Linked DNA regions of Arabidopsis thaliana. The protein of the gene in region 2 interacts with the protein of the main gene of each other region in a pairwise test. Each region holds a gene or a part of one and is shown on either strand. Other genes may lie near its edges.

The links. The genes of interacting proteins can lie anywhere in the genome.
Region 1: the proteins of AAP5 (region 2) and AT1G63110 interact in a protein complementation assay, tested with the Arabidopsis thaliana proteins (one large-scale study listed by BioGRID).
Region 3: the proteins of AAP5 (region 2) and PAP3 interact in a protein complementation assay, tested with the Arabidopsis thaliana proteins (one large-scale study listed by BioGRID).

Annotation. Positions count from the first base shown.
Region 1 is NC_003070.9:23,402,930-23,408,658, reverse strand, and holds AT1G63110 (GPI transamidase subunit PIG-U), read right to left. Parts: upstream 3,972-5,729; 5' UTR 3,790-3,971; coding exon 3,636-3,789; exon of another isoform or gene 3,547-3,635; coding exon 3,499-3,546; intron 3,422-3,498; coding exon 3,361-3,421; intron 3,247-3,360; coding exon 3,214-3,246; intron 3,022-3,213; coding exon 2,897-3,021; intron 2,782-2,896; coding exon 2,647-2,781; intron 2,567-2,646; coding exon 2,490-2,566; intron 2,412-2,489; coding exon 2,155-2,411; intron 1,990-2,154; coding exon 1,933-1,989; intron 1,830-1,932; coding exon 1,661-1,829; intron 1,556-1,660; coding exon 1,498-1,555; intron 1,424-1,497; coding exon 1,338-1,423; intron 1,244-1,337; coding exon 1,187-1,243; intron 995-1,186; coding exon 902-994; 3' UTR 540-901; downstream 1-539. Other genes in the region: AT1G63105 (uncharacterized protein), read right to left, coding at 4,150-4,518.
Region 2 is NC_003070.9:16,763,892-16,769,384, forward strand, and holds AAP5 (amino acid permease 5), read right to left. Parts: upstream 3,795-5,493; 5' UTR 3,333-3,794; coding exon 3,245-3,332; intron 2,829-3,244; coding exon 2,595-2,828; intron 2,548-2,594; exon of another isoform or gene 2,368-2,547; intron 2,294-2,367; coding exon 2,200-2,293; intron 1,959-2,199; coding exon 1,586-1,958; intron 1,414-1,585; coding exon 760-1,413; 3' UTR 501-759; downstream 1-500. UniProt on the Arabidopsis thaliana protein: Amino acid-proton symporter. Stereospecific transporter with a broad specificity for glutamate and both neutral and basic amino acids. Reduced affinities for asparagine and valine.
Region 3 is NC_003070.9:5,056,591-5,061,679, reverse strand, and holds PAP3 (purple acid phosphatase 3), read right to left. Parts: upstream 3,098-5,089; 5' UTR 3,001-3,097; coding exon 2,713-3,000; exon of another isoform or gene 2,295-2,712; intron 2,208-2,294; coding exon 2,051-2,207; intron 1,955-2,050; coding exon 1,847-1,954; intron 1,751-1,846; coding exon 1,623-1,750; intron 1,320-1,622; coding exon 1,191-1,319; intron 1,097-1,190; coding exon 1,029-1,096; coding exon of another isoform or gene 1,025-1,028; exon of another isoform or gene 915-1,024; coding exon 692-914; 3' UTR 540-691; downstream 1-539.

The sequences.
Region 1 (5,729 bases), 6.6 Mb from region 2:
CAATCCAGGAGTTCGAAGTATATTTCCTCCACTAGTTTCTTCCCATCTGATGAAATCCAAGAAACAAAATTACAAAATCAAGAACCATTAGTTGTCTTAACTTAACAGATGAAAAAGGAGTAGTTTCAAACTGTATTTTGTGACTGAGCTATGAAGGAAAACTGCAGTTTGAAGTTTGAACTTTGCTGAAGTCAGCTCCGATACACAACCGCATTCCATCACCAAACGCCATGAAATTCCATCACCACACGCCATCAATACAATATATAATACCAAGATATGCAATCATGCATACATCAGCTTCATGCAATATATGCATAATTTTTAGGAGATTTCAGATGTCACAAGATCGAATTGAACATATATTTTCAACAGTGTGAAATACAGTTATACGGTTAGGGTCTGATTTTTGTTTTTGGTACCACGTGGGTTTTACAAGTTTTTATGATATTACAAATAAATTAATAATGCATCACACTTCATTTATTGTGAATGGGTGACTTTTAAGAAAACAATGACCAAACACCACCCAATAACCTTCCTGCACTGTGTCATTTAGGCCTTAATGGTGCAGTGGATAAGGATAAAGTACGGGACATAGACAATGCCTTTAATCATCCACCATTCACAAATGATAATACCTTGTATACATGCGATGTAACTTCAAATATAGGGATGATTGTGTGCTTTGCGGATCAAAACAAGAACTTTAAAACCTCTCGGTAAAAAGTACAAATTAATGGTTACTCTAAACGGAAAGGCACAGGAGATTTGTTATTTATATGATGTTCTCAAACAAAGAAAAGCTACTCACACAAATCACATGTTGCCAACTTTAAGCTAAAGACCCAACTCTTTTCTTTACGTGTAACAGAAAAGTGGCGCAATGACCTTCAATGGCTTAGCTCTTGACTTCTCGATGGTTTGAGTTTGATCTCTTCAGCGCCCTGTCATGGTTTAGCATTGCGCTTACGCTCTCAACCACGAAAACGATCTGTAAAGAAAAGCAGAAACCCGTATGCGGGTTTTAGTCAAGATAACCCAAAACTACAACATTCTTTGATCAATAACTGATGATCTCATCATCCTCTGCTTGATATCATCAAATTTTGTACTATATGAGTATCAACTCCCAACTACTGAATAGAATAATGAATTTTGAAATGGATCCAGGCCTATATTTTACCTGAAAGCACGCGTAGCCGATAGCGTTTCCAAAGTAGAAATTTGCATTTCCGGTTCCCTGTCATGAAAAAATCAAAGGTAGTTGTGATCATTAGAACATTTTGTTGCAACTGCTGTGAAGAGTTGGGTTATGGATTTGAGTAGAAGCTTACCCGCCATATCCAGAGATTGTGCATCACAGGGCTGAGGAGAGAGATCCCGAGATATCCACAGAAGAGGAAGAACGAGAACTTCATATCTATGTGAAACAGAAGCAGAGTTTATATGCAAAGGCTAAACAATGCTAAGAGGATGTGAAGTATTTGCTTTTACCTAATAACTCATTGACAAACAATGCCCATAAGCTCAAGTATAACGCCGAATCTCCGACCTATTGAGAGTAAATCAAATGATGAAAGCATTGTTAACATTTATGAATATAATTCCTCAAAGAAGAAAAGATAACTTCAAGTTCACAGTGAATTCAACTACTTACTGAAGGATAAGATTTAAGAATCGAGGAGATCGCTAAGTATATGAAAGCCAGGAAACATGGCCGATGTTTCAACCTTATGGCTAAGGGCAGTAACATGAACAGAATATTTACGTGTAAAACTATCAGAAAAAAGTTTCTGAAGAAGTCGAATACTTCTGCAAAGAAGTACCTGAAAACGAGATTTAAAACGAACAGTAAATAGTCTTTTCATAAAAGAAGGGATCCCTTATTCATCACCCAATGATATCACCATATTAATTTATTTTACTTACCAAAAGACTCCAATGTTTGGTGAAAGATCTTCAATACTAAGAATGAAACCATACGTCCTACAATAGGAGGCAAAGACAAACAAACATCAAATCGCCTAAACACTACGTTGCAAGTTCTTAATAAATAATTATATGATTTGGAATATAAGTTATAGATATAATATGGCTAACGGAAACTAATCCTATAGCGGTTATGAATAAGATTTCTAAGTTAGAGGCTACCTCTTGAACATCTCCTCAAGCCCACCATATTTATTCAGTGATAAGGCACATAAAATCAACACATAGAGTGACCACAGAAGTACCCAGAACAAGAAGTGTGCGACTGTTTTCCATAAGAAAGGAAGGTGCGTAGTCTGTTTCAACTTGGCTTGTTTAGAAACAGTAGAGGTTGAACTCTCCTCATTTTCTACACTTCTGGTCTGAAGGAACAATTTTATAGGAGGAGCATCCAAACCATATCCCAATAGAAAGATTATCTGTGGGAAATGCACGAGCAGTTAGAATTTGTTTAATTTGAGAAACGTGAAAAACATAAAATAAGAAATGATACATACTGGAATTGTCAGAGTAGCAGGATAAAGAGATAAATGTGTGGCAATGACTAAGCCAAATGCTGCCAGAGGAACTCGTCCTGCATGGGTAGAAAACATCAGTTATAAAATTTCAAGAAACTATTGAACAAACAATATGCAAGTATCATCATCTTCTTACGTGTAACTGCTCCAAAAAGCGCCAATATGACAGCCAGGTTTTCGATGGGAGAAGTTGATAAGCCCACACAAGAAACTATCGTGAAAGGATTCCACAAATACACAAGAGCAGCAATATCACCACAAGGTAGGATCACTGAGGAGACAACGAAAAAGGAGAGATCAATATTTGCCTTCAAGTAAATAGTTACAAGAAAAGAGTAGAAATAAGATAGATGATACACAAAATTCAACAACTGACTTCAATCTACCTTTATCCCTTGATGACTTAAGAAAACCAAGTAGTCTCGCATTCAGTCCATAAGCCATCTGGAGTTTCTGACCAATAGCTCGAAGAAGCATTGCACTTAATATATCTGCAATAACAAAAACCAAGCTGTATCCAAGAGAATGTTGGTAGCAACGACATGACTATAAAGCTCTTGATGAATAGTAAATCATTCAAAGATCATCTCTTTTCCAAATTCACATCTCACAATCTAATCCTACCTAAGATTTTAAGCTAGCTCAAATCTGAGAAGAAAGAAAAAACATGTGATCACAGAAATGAAGGGACACTGAAAAGTACCTGCACAAGAGGTGACTTGGTTGCCCTTTAATCCTGCAAACACACAAATTGTCTTCCAATAAAACTCAAGTGGGAAAAAATCATGTTTTCATATGATTCAAGCTCAATAAATCACAAATCCTAATATCAAAATCGATTAGTCACTACCTTTGAACTGTGAGAGGTCCAAGAACCGAGAGCAGCAATGGTGAGCCATGATACATAGATCCTGCTCAAATATGTACAACTTCAGCTTCTAATAGCCTAAGAATCCAAATTTACAGAGGATCAAATCTTAAGATAGACCTGCATATGGTGACATCGATGCCTGCTTCAACCAATAACCTTCAGCAACTGAAAATGTTCATACAAAACGAAGAAATGTGAGCTGAATTCGAGATCTTAGAGAGCTAATGAGGGAGTGAGAAAGAGAGAGGAGATACGGCGGCGAATGCTGGTGAGAGGGGTAGAGACCTCCGGACGGGAAGAGAGATTGAGATTTCCCGGGAAGGAGATCAAGATCAATCGGAAAGCAATGGAAGATAAAGCCCAAATCCAGAATCGGCTTAGCTGCTTCATTTTCTGCTCCTCCGCCATTTCTCCGTCGTCTTTTCTTCTTCTCTCTCTCCGGCGAGTGAAGAGAGACGACTCAGATGAAACGACGACGTATTTGATATGATCTTGTTAAGGTTTGGTTCCGGTTTGATTTTTTCGGTTTATGATCCATTTATAATTCGGTTTGATTAATGTAACTCTATATCGGTTCGGTTCGGTTTTTGTTTGATGCATTTCGGTTTCGTGTTTGTGTGATAAACATTTTTCCAATGTAAAATATCATATGAAGAATAATCATATATTTACTTTTTTATCTTGTTGTAATTTTGAAGAGAACACTAAATACATATATTATGCTTCGTTAAATACTTATGTGCTTATTAACTTTTTATGTTTACTTAATTACGTTGGTACGTTGTGTGAACTGCTCTCTCCTGCTTCGTTCTTTGCTTTCTTCTTTACTTCCTCTTTCCTTGCTTCTTCTTCTTCCTTTATTGCTTCATCTCTAGCTTTCTTCCTTTCCTTTGCATCAACAACCGCTTTTCGCATTATGTCTAGGGCAGTTTTTGATTTCTCAAAGACATCATCCCCCATCTTGTCTACCTCGTCAAGATCTCGAAGAAAATTAGGATCTGAATTTGTACTTCGTATAACTCCCACGCGATATGCAACATGTTTAGCTGTGTTGATGATTTCCTCCATTTGTGAAAGGATCGGGTTTGTCACGGCTTTAAACGCTTCGTCTCCCAAATCTGTGTTAGTGGCTTTCATGTAAGCTGTATAGAAATAGTCTACATTCGTCCTTGCTTTCTTGGCTTTGGTGTTTATCTCTGTATAAATAGATTGCATCTTAAGAACCAAAAACAAAAAAGAGTTATTGAGTTTTTTATATAATACGAATAAGAGCTAGCTAGAGAGAATTGTGATGATGCACATCCTATATATATACACACGTTTAACAACTTGATTAGCAAGTTCAATAACTATCGCAAAAGTGCTTTATTCGCTCATAAGTCATAATCAACCTCCCAATTTTTTTTTAACAAAGTATAGTTTATGTGTACACGCTTAATTAAGCCACCCTCCCAAGCTTAGTGTTTTTTTCTTACTTTTTATTCATCAAACTCAAAGGAAATGAATGATCTAATTCAAAACTAATTATACAAATGGAATTCCACAATGCACAATGAATGGTTAACGTGGGAGGGAATTATGTACCTTTATATCGTTTAAGAACAATCCTTTTAAGATACAATTATTTTCTTATTTGCATTTGGTTTAGCTTTCATGCAAAGTTTATTTTCTTTTTTTGGATAACGACTTTTATGCAAAGTTCTCTATTAATATAGCTCTTATCCTGTTATATCATCTGTATATTGTAGCATGATTTCTTACAGAGCACATGATAACAATCCAAAATAAATATATGTGTATATTTGTGCTAAGTGTATCTATATATAATTATATATTATTCATTAATATATATGTTAATATCTACTTTTATGTGTATAGTTTAGATTTTGTACATAGATTCAGATTTGATTTTTAGTCTAGTGATTAACTAGATTATGTTCATACTATTTTAGTGTTTCCTAGAAAATCATTACAACCCAAATACTTATCTAAACATCTTAAGATAGAGTTTTAAGATGTTAAACCTAAAAGGTCCTAGTGTTAATGAATGAAAAATATCAATTATTAGGGAAAAGATACTAGAAATTATATACATCTTGAATTAATCATTACCATTAGATTAAAATGTATTTCTAAATAGTTTCCAAATATTTACCCTATTTCTTATTCTTATTTATCAGTAAAATTAGACAACATTTTGATACAAAAAGAAACACATTTTGCCCATCTTTATTAATAGGCTTATTAAAAAAAGGTTTATTAAAAAGCCCATTATATTTGCTAGTAAAGCCCATTAGTTTTGAAATTTTGTAAGCTCTTTATGTTTGTGAAATCTTGCTTATTTGTTT
Region 2 (5,493 bases):
CTAAATTCTTTACCGATCGACCCTAATACTACTTTGATTGCTTTGCACTTGTAGTTTAGGAAATTAAAACTATATCATCATTGGTTGAGTTATTTTTTATATTATTAAAGTTCTTGAGTATATATAAAACAAAAGAGTTGAGGTATCAAAAAGACACCAAGCATGTGATATTATTCTTAAGTACTTTCACTCATTTGATTGTATAGCTTTTGAATGTAACTAATGTTATTTATTGTGTAACTAACTGAGAATTCATCGATTGCTTTGTAAAAGAAAGATCAGAATATTTTCAGTGTCATATCATTATTCTCGATTTGCTTTTGTTAAATTTTAATTATTGTTTTGTCAAGGTAAACATTGATTATCTTATTTGTATGGCTTCATTAGGCATTGTTAGCTCAATTTTATCTAGGGGATCTTTAGTTTTGGAGAGTGTTTACAAGAAGATAAACGATTTAAGAATTTGAAGAATTTTGGAGATAAACACAAAACATCTTGTAGCTCCTTTGGTTTATAGACTTCTAAAATTAATTATAAGTATTAAATGTTTAATACATCTCTACTACCTCAAGTGTCGAAAAAGCTATCCTTATACATGACTACTTTTAATCATTGATAGTTCAATGTTGTAAGAATTCTCGGTAGAAACATGATTTATAATTGAACACTTACACAAAGTTAACTAATACAAATATGACATTAAAACATTCAATTCTAATCTTAACCCTTTTAGCAGGAGTTTATTTTTCCCGTATGATCTCAGAATTCAGACTGGAAAGGTTTGTAGACCTTGAGATCACTAACAATGCCAATAACAGATCCCGCGGCCGCGGCTACGGACACAAAAAGACATGTCACACTCAAGACTTGTAGACAAACCCACTTTGTGCCCCATCTCGGAACATTCTTCTGTGCAATGTACATTTCCACTGGGAAATAAACCGTTAAAGGCCAAAAACCAATGGCCCCCAAGAGACCGACTACATCGTTAAAGAAAGGCATTAACATTGAGATCAACGTTGTTGTCATCACGAAGAACGTCCTCCATACGAGCCTGAAGAGATTCAAGTTAAAGGGCTTCCCCGGGAAGAGTTGGATCTTGATCTCTTTTGTGACGAATTCGCTCTCTGGAAACCTCCTAGAGGCTTCCTTCTCGACGAAGGCAAAGAGGGGTTGGCAATAGACTTGGTAAGCACCGACTAGATGGATCACTATAGCGAGATTAGCAATGTCAAGCAACCAATATGGGTTTCTAAACCCTCCATGAGCGAGGAGATTTCCGGGTGCGTTATCCCCAAATGCTGCATACCCTACACAGCCACATAGCATGTAGAAGACTGTAGTCACTGCCACACTTACAAAAGTCGCTTTTCTCATCGTGTTTACTTCGGCAGGCGGTGATTTCACCGTGTCCTGGATCATCAAATCGTCTAGTTGATTAAAACATCCTTTAAACAAACTCTTATCACACAAACTCGCTTAACAAATAAACCAAACGATGCACTAGTTGTAACAACGTTATTTTTCTTTTGAATCTAACTTAACATTATTTTCAAAAAAAAAAAAACTCGCGTAACAAAAATACCTGAATTTCGATGAGAATCATCGAGTAAGAGTACGCAAACGCAATGTTGCCAAGAGACTGAAATGTTCTCCATATTTTCTGCGACGATGTCACTGTCCCACTCAGTGTCACTGTCCCAACAGTGACTCCAGTGAGACTACCTTTAATTTCTTTGTTCTCTACCACTTTAGAGACACCAAGGCCAAGTCCAATGGCAGAATAAGCAAAAGACATGACCGCAGCGACAATGGAAAGCCACCATAACTGATCAAAATCAGGAATCTGAGAGAATATGATTTGTACAATACCAAACGCAATCATGTAAACATTTCCATTAACATGACAAGGATCATTTGGTCCATTCATCTGTTGGCAACTTGTCCTTTGGATTGCTCTGTAAATTTTTTATTCAAGAAAATTAGTTAACAAGTCAAACAATAATAGAGCCGTTCTTTCGAATCTTTAATGGCACAAAACAAGACTACATTGACTAAAACACTGCATTATTGAGCCAAACATTAATGACTTGTATGGACAATATTGAATAGCAAAATAAAACACGCATCTAACTTTTTTTGGACAAATGTGAACAATTAAAATAAAAAGAGTTTTGTGAAAGCAAAGTTTTAACTTACACCAAACTTATAGCTGATGCAATTGTATATCCAATTGCTGTACCAAATAGATTAACATATTGCACAACTCCACATACTTTCACCTTAATCCCACCTAAAAATGAATCAAGAATGAATTAAGTTTTTGATGATAATAACTATTGGGATATGGAACCGATATGGAGAACCAGAGATCGACAGAGATCAACGGTTGAAATGACAAGGCCAAGATACGGCAAGAAAATATTATTCTAAAAGATAAATGTTAAACTTTCTAAACTTCAATATTAACATTTATCTTCTAGAATAATATCTTTTTGTTATATCTTGGCCTTGTCATCTCAACCGTCGATCTTCGGTTCAATATCCCAATATATGCACCAAAAAGAAACCGAAATGATTTTTTTTTTGTTTACCGAGGTTGGAGTGAATAGCGTCCATGTAAGTGTAGTTTCTTTTGCCGGTAACAGAGTCACCAGATCGGTAACAAGAACAGAGAAGGGTAGATGTGTAAAAAGTAACGAAAGAAAAGAGTAACATAGCCACTGGACCACCAATCCAACCAATCTGAGCAACGGCCCATGCCAATGACAACACTCCTGACCCAATTACTGCTGTTATTATGTGTGCACTTGCTGTCCACACCGTCCCTAAACACCAATCACATTCAAACAGAATTTTAAGACAAGAACTGTAGTAACAATAAAGTCTGTTTTGTTTAACCGTTAATTTTAAGACAACAACTGTAGTAACAATAGTGTTCATACACTTTAGTAACAAAAATCATACTTTTCCATAACATCCACACAAAAAAAGAAGTAGGAATTTGTCACCCCTTAACAAACAAAGCCTATGCATATATTTACTGTAGATGTTTTAAATTGCAAGTTCAACAGACTCCGGGTTTCGGTTTGTATCCCGAAACCCGGAATTAAAAAAATTCCGGGTTTCGGGTTCAAATCCCCGGTTATAGGAAACAGAGACTAATTTTATATTTACTTTGATTCTTGTTTGAACAGATTAGAGAAACATAAAACATAAAATTAGAGAAAAAAAGAGAAATTACCGGTTCGCTTGGGACGACCATCATCATCGAATGAATCCGAGCTATGTTTCGGAAGAACATCCAAATCTTGAACATTCTGAACGACCATCTTCTTCTTTTGGTCGACAATAAGACCAAAATTTACTAAGAAGAATCCAAACTTTACCGACAGGAAAAACGGTTGAAAAAGTTTTACTTGTTTTGTGTTTTCTCGTATAGATCTTGAATTTTTTTAAGACCAGAAGAAGAAGTGAAATCAACGATTATTCAGCGAGAAGAAGAATGATTTTGACCAAATAAAATCAACGGTGACAAGAGACCGATGTTTTCTATGGACCAGAGATTATATAATTGGAAGAGAGTGAAAGTATAGGAATTGACAAAGTAGAGATTAGAAATGCATGATAATATAAATACTGACCAAAGCTTTTGTTGTTTCACTAATTTATAAGCACCGTGGAAGACGGAGACATCCAACTTGTAAGAAGGAAGAAGCAGAGGAAACCGCATGTGCTTTTTTTTTTTTTTTTGTGAGGACTACAAAAATAGTTTATCTTTTTATGAGAAAATGGTTTCATTGTTATACATTAGTGACAACAAGTGCAAAATGTCAAATCTTATAAATTACATATAAGCTAAACAATCAAACTAAATTTTAAGATTTTTACCTTTAAAATATAGATATTTTAATTTTAAATTTTAGAAACAATGATTCATGTCCTTATAATTTAAGAGTATTTGAGTAAATCAAAGTAATTTAAGAAAATATATAATTAGAGATATAGTAGTTTTTATTATTATTGATTATTATGTTATATGTACTTTTGATGTCAAGAGAAAGTTGAAGGAAGATTTAACTTTTGAAATTCGTTATATCATTTGTAAATGAACGATTTGGTGGTATACTTATATTAATATTTTAGAATCATTTATCATAGGCATTACTCAAAAAAAACAAAATATATTTAACATGGGCATGTGTTCAACCATAATTATAAACAAATTGATAAAGTATATATTTTATTAATTTGTTATTTAAATAATTAACGTTTACCATGGACTTCTTTCGTCTATATCTAGTATATTTCTAAAAACTTTCGGTTGGTTTTGAGGAAATGAAAGTGGAAACTATGTATAGTGGTGTTTGCATGTTATGAGTTTGGTCACATTATATACTCTTTTTTGGTTGATAGGTTCTCACAAATTGAAGTTACAAAACAATGTTAAATATTCTCGATTATTTTCCATTTTATTTGTGGAGTTTTTGTATGAACATGCAAAATACACCTCGATTAGATGAAGTTTTTCAACATAACATTGCTAGAATTGCTAGGATTAATCTCAATTCTTAAAAATTCCATAAAAGCTAAACATCAAACCAAATTTTAAGATTTTTACCTTTAAAATATAGATATTTTAATTTTAAAATTTAAAAACAATGATTCATGTCCTTAATTTAATGAGTATTTGAGTAAATTAAAGTAATTATAATTAGAGATATAGTTGTTTTTTCATTATTATTGATTATTATGTTATATGTACTTTTGATGTCAAGAGAAAGTTGACGGAGGATTTAACTTTTCAAATTCCTTATATCATTTGTTTTTTTTTTGTCAACCGGAATTAATTAAACTCAAACGAACCAATTCCGAGGAATTAAAAATAAAGAGATGCTAATAAATTTTTCTTTCTCGCTCTTAAATTCTTTCAAATACACTGGAAACACCGACCATTCGGTTGGAAAATACACTGTCGTTATATCATTTCTAAAGAGTATAAATGAACGATTTGGTGGTATACTTTACTATTTTAGAATCATTTATCATAGGCAATTAGATATTATTTTGAAAAAGAAAATATATTTAAAATTTTGATGGGCAAGTTTTCAACCATAATTACAAACAAATTGATAAAGTAAATATTTTATTAATTTATTATTTAATAGTTATTTAAATAATTAACGTTTACCATGGACTTCTTTGTCTATATCTACTATGTTTCTAAAAACTTTCGGTTGGTTTGAGGAAATGAAAGTGGAAACTATGTAAAGTGGTGTTTGCCTGTTATGAGTTTGGTCATATTATATATACTCTATTTTCGTTGATAAATTCTCACAAATTGAAGTTACATAACAATGTTAAATATTCTCGATTATTTTCAATTTTATTTTTGGAGTTTTTGTATGAACATGCAAAATACACCTCAATTAGATGAAGTTTTTCAACATAACATTGATAGAATGGGTTTCACTTTTTTTAAATGCTTATTGC
Region 3 (5,089 bases), about 12 Mb from region 2:
CACCAAAAGTAAAATAAGATAAGCCTTAATAGAATGACTATTATATTTCTTTTGGGAGATAATTTTGGTATGAGCAAAAGTGTTCTTGCGATCAAATATGAGAGATCCGGGGCTTGTGAAATTATGTGACAGAATCTCATCCACAACATAGAGTTGTATATCATTTATCTTATCATATAATCCATAATTCACTATAACTTATCTATATATATTACATGATTGAAGAGAATCTGAGCACAGGACAAAAGACATGTAACAAAATCATTATCTATCTTTATAGATGAGAATCGGACCCATTTTGTGTCCCTACAAACTACACAAGAGTACTGTATGCACGCATGCTTCGGGAAAACTTGTTAATCAAATTGGATAAGAATAACGAAAATTAATTAACTTAATTAATATGGAAGCGTAAGAGAGGATGATATTTACATTTTAATATGCTTAGATTCGATATGTATATACAGTATATGCATGCAGTATTTCTAGTTAATCTCACATCTTACAAATTTTCAATAATATCTTGTTTGAAACTGTACTTTTACGCAATAAAGATTTCATTGACTTTTTTTTCTGATGCTGCTGATATGTTCTTGTCATATCATAATGTGATTCGAAAATTCGACGAAGTACGATATTGATAATTTCATAGTACATCGATCATAAACAATTACGTCCGATTAAATTGGAATCAAGAAGCGAAATAAAGCGCCTCCTTGTAAGTCTTCTTCCAATGATGCAGAACGTGTCCAAAAACATCATAAAAGACTACACGCAGTTCAGCTTCTGAAACGTGAACCGACATGAAACCTTGTCCGTCGTAGTAAAACCTCATCTCTTCTGGTTCAACGTAGTTCACGTCACCTCCTTTCCAGGCCTTGGATCCACCTCCACTTGTCATAAATTGTATGTTACTATATGCAACCAAAAATGGTGACATTTTATATCCTCCCGTACGTGGACCCTTACGTTACAATAATTGATTAATAAGAAAATAATTAACGAACAAATAAATAAATTTATTCTACCTGTCCACGCTGCTTATGTGCTCTAAGCAATGATCATGTCCGTTTACGTAGAGATCCACTTCATTTGCCTAGTAAATCGAGAACAAAAAAAACAGATTTAATTAGATAGATTTTTTCTATTGGTGCATAAACTTTATTATATGAATGGAATGGTTTTGTTACTTGGAGAATAGGTAAAAGGTGTTTCTCCAACTCAATGGTGTTCCCGTGGTGGCCTGCGCTTTTGATCGTATGGTGACCAATCACTATTTTCCACTTTGCGACTGACTCTCTCAACGCCACGTCGAGTTCCTATATTATTACATTATAGCTTTCGTTAGTCACTCGCTCGTAAAAAGAAAAAAAGTTGCATTGGCAGATTGTTCTCTAATCATATCGCATTACATACCTAATTAAAACGCGATTCCATTTGAAAATAGACAAAATAAAAGCTGCGTTTAACATCCAATCATAACTTTATAAAAAAATCCAATCATAACAAAAGAAAAAGGAATGTTTTGCCCAAAACACGTATATAATGACGTTCCTAAGTTAATATTAATTCTATTTCGACGAAAAAAGAAAGAAAGGAAGATTTACTTAAAAAATTGTTACCTTTAAGAGATTATTCAGATATGTTTGCCTAGGTAATACACCGCTCCAGTCATAAACATGCTTATTTGGTTGAATAAAGTATTTATCGACGAACGGAGTTGTGTCGACGAAGAACAAATCGACGATCTCTGTTCAGTTAACGAAATTAACAAAAATAAAAAAATAATTGGAGGATTAATAAAATATTTCTAACTTTTGAAGAAATATTATATAGGAGGAATTACCAGCATTTACAATGAAAGATCTCATGCAAACCCATCTGTTGTCCAGAGCTCTGAGCATAGGGCTAAGTTGTGCCCTGACGTCACCTCTATAATCATGATTTCCTAAAACTTTAGGTTAAAGAAAATGTAATTAACACATTGAACCACATATCGTTTAATAATTAAGATCCAACGACGAATGTACACATTGAACCACACATTTACCACTATACCAAGGTTTCTGCAAGCTCGGAGCGGTATAAATGTTGGTAAAAGAATCTTGAAATAGAGGATCGTGCAAGCTGGTTAAACCATTGTCGTAAAAATTATCTCCAGTAGAAATCACAAAATCGATATCTAATTTCTCTCCGATTTCTCCCATCTGTTTAAATTTCGTGTGAAATAATTTAGCATAAAATAACTAAAAACAACAGTATAAAAGAAAACATCAAACTAGCATAAAATTTACCACATTGAGTTCATCTGCAAAACAACAGTACAAACAAAAATCATATGTAGAATATCTTCGTACACTAAAGCTGTTTTCTTAACACAGACCGAATCTTTCAAGTTCCTCTAACATGACTTTCTTTCTTTTTATGGTATCTTATAACATGGTGTTCAAGAATTAGTAATATATATTGAAATTGAATAATAATAATAAAAAAAAGAAAAAAAAAGAATAATATAAAAACATAAGGGCCGGCATTAATATGAAGACCAGTAAATTTGATCCTCATATCACGTATGCTCTTGAAGGCATACGCATATATATGTTTACGTAATACGTATTAATTATACACTATTGAATTTGCATTATATATTTATATATATGCGTACAGGCGAGAAATATAGTAAATAACTTGTAAATGAAAATAAGAAGTAACCTGAAGAGCTACTTGGGACTGATTATAGGAGCCTCTTCTTCCCCAGTCTCCGATAACGAGAAAGCTCACTGTACCATCGGTTTTTGATGGCTGCAGTAGCCTGCGGAGCTCCGCCGTGGAACTATGGGAGGAGAATATAATAATCAAATTATAAACGTAAAATACCAAATTTACAGGTTTGTGTTTTAAGGTAGCCATTGAGAGATTAGAAAAGCAAAAGAGGAAGAAGATAAGGAAAGGAATGGTTGATTTTGTTGTGATCTTTGTGTCTCTATATATGTAGGTCATTTCGAGGTTGATAAATATGAATAAAAATTATTTGCCATTTTGAGAAATGTAGTCCATTTTTGTTTTCTATTTCAATCTTTTGATTTGTCAATTTTATTACAATAATTTGAATCGGTAATTTTTTTGTCACCCACTTTTTCAGATATTTATCAATAACGAAATATAATGACAAGATAAATTTAAATAAAATAAATAGCGGTTGAAAATTAGCTGTTGAAATATTTTAAACATAAAGAAATTGGATATTGACAGTTTAAGGATATTTGAAAATTTCTATTATCAGTGAAAATATACGTAAATTTCTACTACATTTTTATTTCTAACATTATACATAAACATATTATCTAAATTTGGATTATGACACATCAAACAACAGTATGCATACAAACTATTATTACACCGTGAATTCTGATCACACAAATTCTTTCTAAAATCGCATTTTAAAAACAAAATATACTTGAAAAAAATAGAAATAAAATTTACGAAGCTCGGGTATGTGCGTTGTCATACAAGAAGAGTAGAAGACAGCATAAACGCCCATGCCACAAATTTGTCGGAAATTGCAATTATTAGCTTTGAGTCACATTATTGATGTGAGTCTAACGAAAACTTCCAAATTCTCTCAATTATTGTTGACCGTTAGTTATTTTACAGTATAGTTCTGAACATAAAATAATGTGAATAGTTTACTAAATTCGTTCAACATATTAAAGAAAAATCAAAATCCCATTTATACAAAAATTTGAAAGTATATCCTTACTGGATATGAGAAAATAAATGCAAATGGGTTGGCCTATGTTATTGGGCCGATACCCATTTCTCTAATGAAAAGAAAGATCTATAAAAACAAACTTCTGCTTCTCGACTAGGACATTAATTCTGAGGTATGACTATGAAGGTATCATATTATTTTGTAATTCTTGGCCAAAACTTGTCACCTGTGTGTTTGTATGTTCTTACAAAAGAGAAAACTAATGAGCATTAACTTCTGCAACGTTTATTTTACATGTTTGGTCTTATTGCTGATTCAGTCTAGTTCGTCGAGTATTTTGAAAACAACTTGAGGAGTTAATCAAAAGAAACAAGCTTAATGTGGTATATATGTTCCTTACGACTATAGTTCCTATTAGTATGATGTAGTCAGCAAGATTGACTTATGATGACTATAGAAACTTCACTGAATATCTCTGGTGGTCCTAGACAGTCACAGTGTCCTACTGTATCTTTAGTTTGGTTCGCCAAGTCTAGTATCGGACCGTATAGATAGAGAGATGTCAATTGTGTTTATGTGTTTTTTTTTTCTCTCTGAAGCAAATTGATTGATCGATTTGTCAGCAATTCCTTTCGAGTCAAAAGTTTTGACCAACCAGCTTCTTCGTGAAACTCTCTAGCTGTATTCACACATACACACACACACCTAACAAAATTATTGAAACAGTGGGTTTGATGTAAAGCCTAAATCATTCAACCACCTCTCTCTATTTCTTTTTTGTTCTTTTTTTCTATGCAACATATGATTATATATTAGATCCATGTGATATTGCTTGAGTCTTTAATTTAAGGCTTTATAAATAGAACAAATATAGGCCTTTTTAGGTCAACACGTGTGTGTGGAAATGATGCTAATGCTTCCAAAATGAAACAGAATAATGTCGTCATGAGCTACTCATTTACAAGAGGATTGTTTTAGTGTTGGATTGGCTAATAGACTTGGATCGATATCTATAATATAGACCATATATATAATATGTTTAGCCTAAACAATGATATATATGTCATGTGACACTTATGTGTTTTAGCAATCACTAAAATAATGCAAACATTAATACATGTAGGTGAGTTGTGAGTTCAAATAATATTAGTCAATACTCAATAGTCACTGTAATTGATATTTTGAATGGCTTATCCTATGAAAATTTAGTACTTTCATAGAGAGAAAAAAAAAACAAATGTTAATCTAAAGACGACAATTTAGATTTTAGCAGTCGCACCAGAACTAGTACCAGGAAACATAAGATAATATATACAGGACTAGCTACTTCATTATCTTTACGTAGTTTATGACAAAGATTGTTGTATAATCTTCATC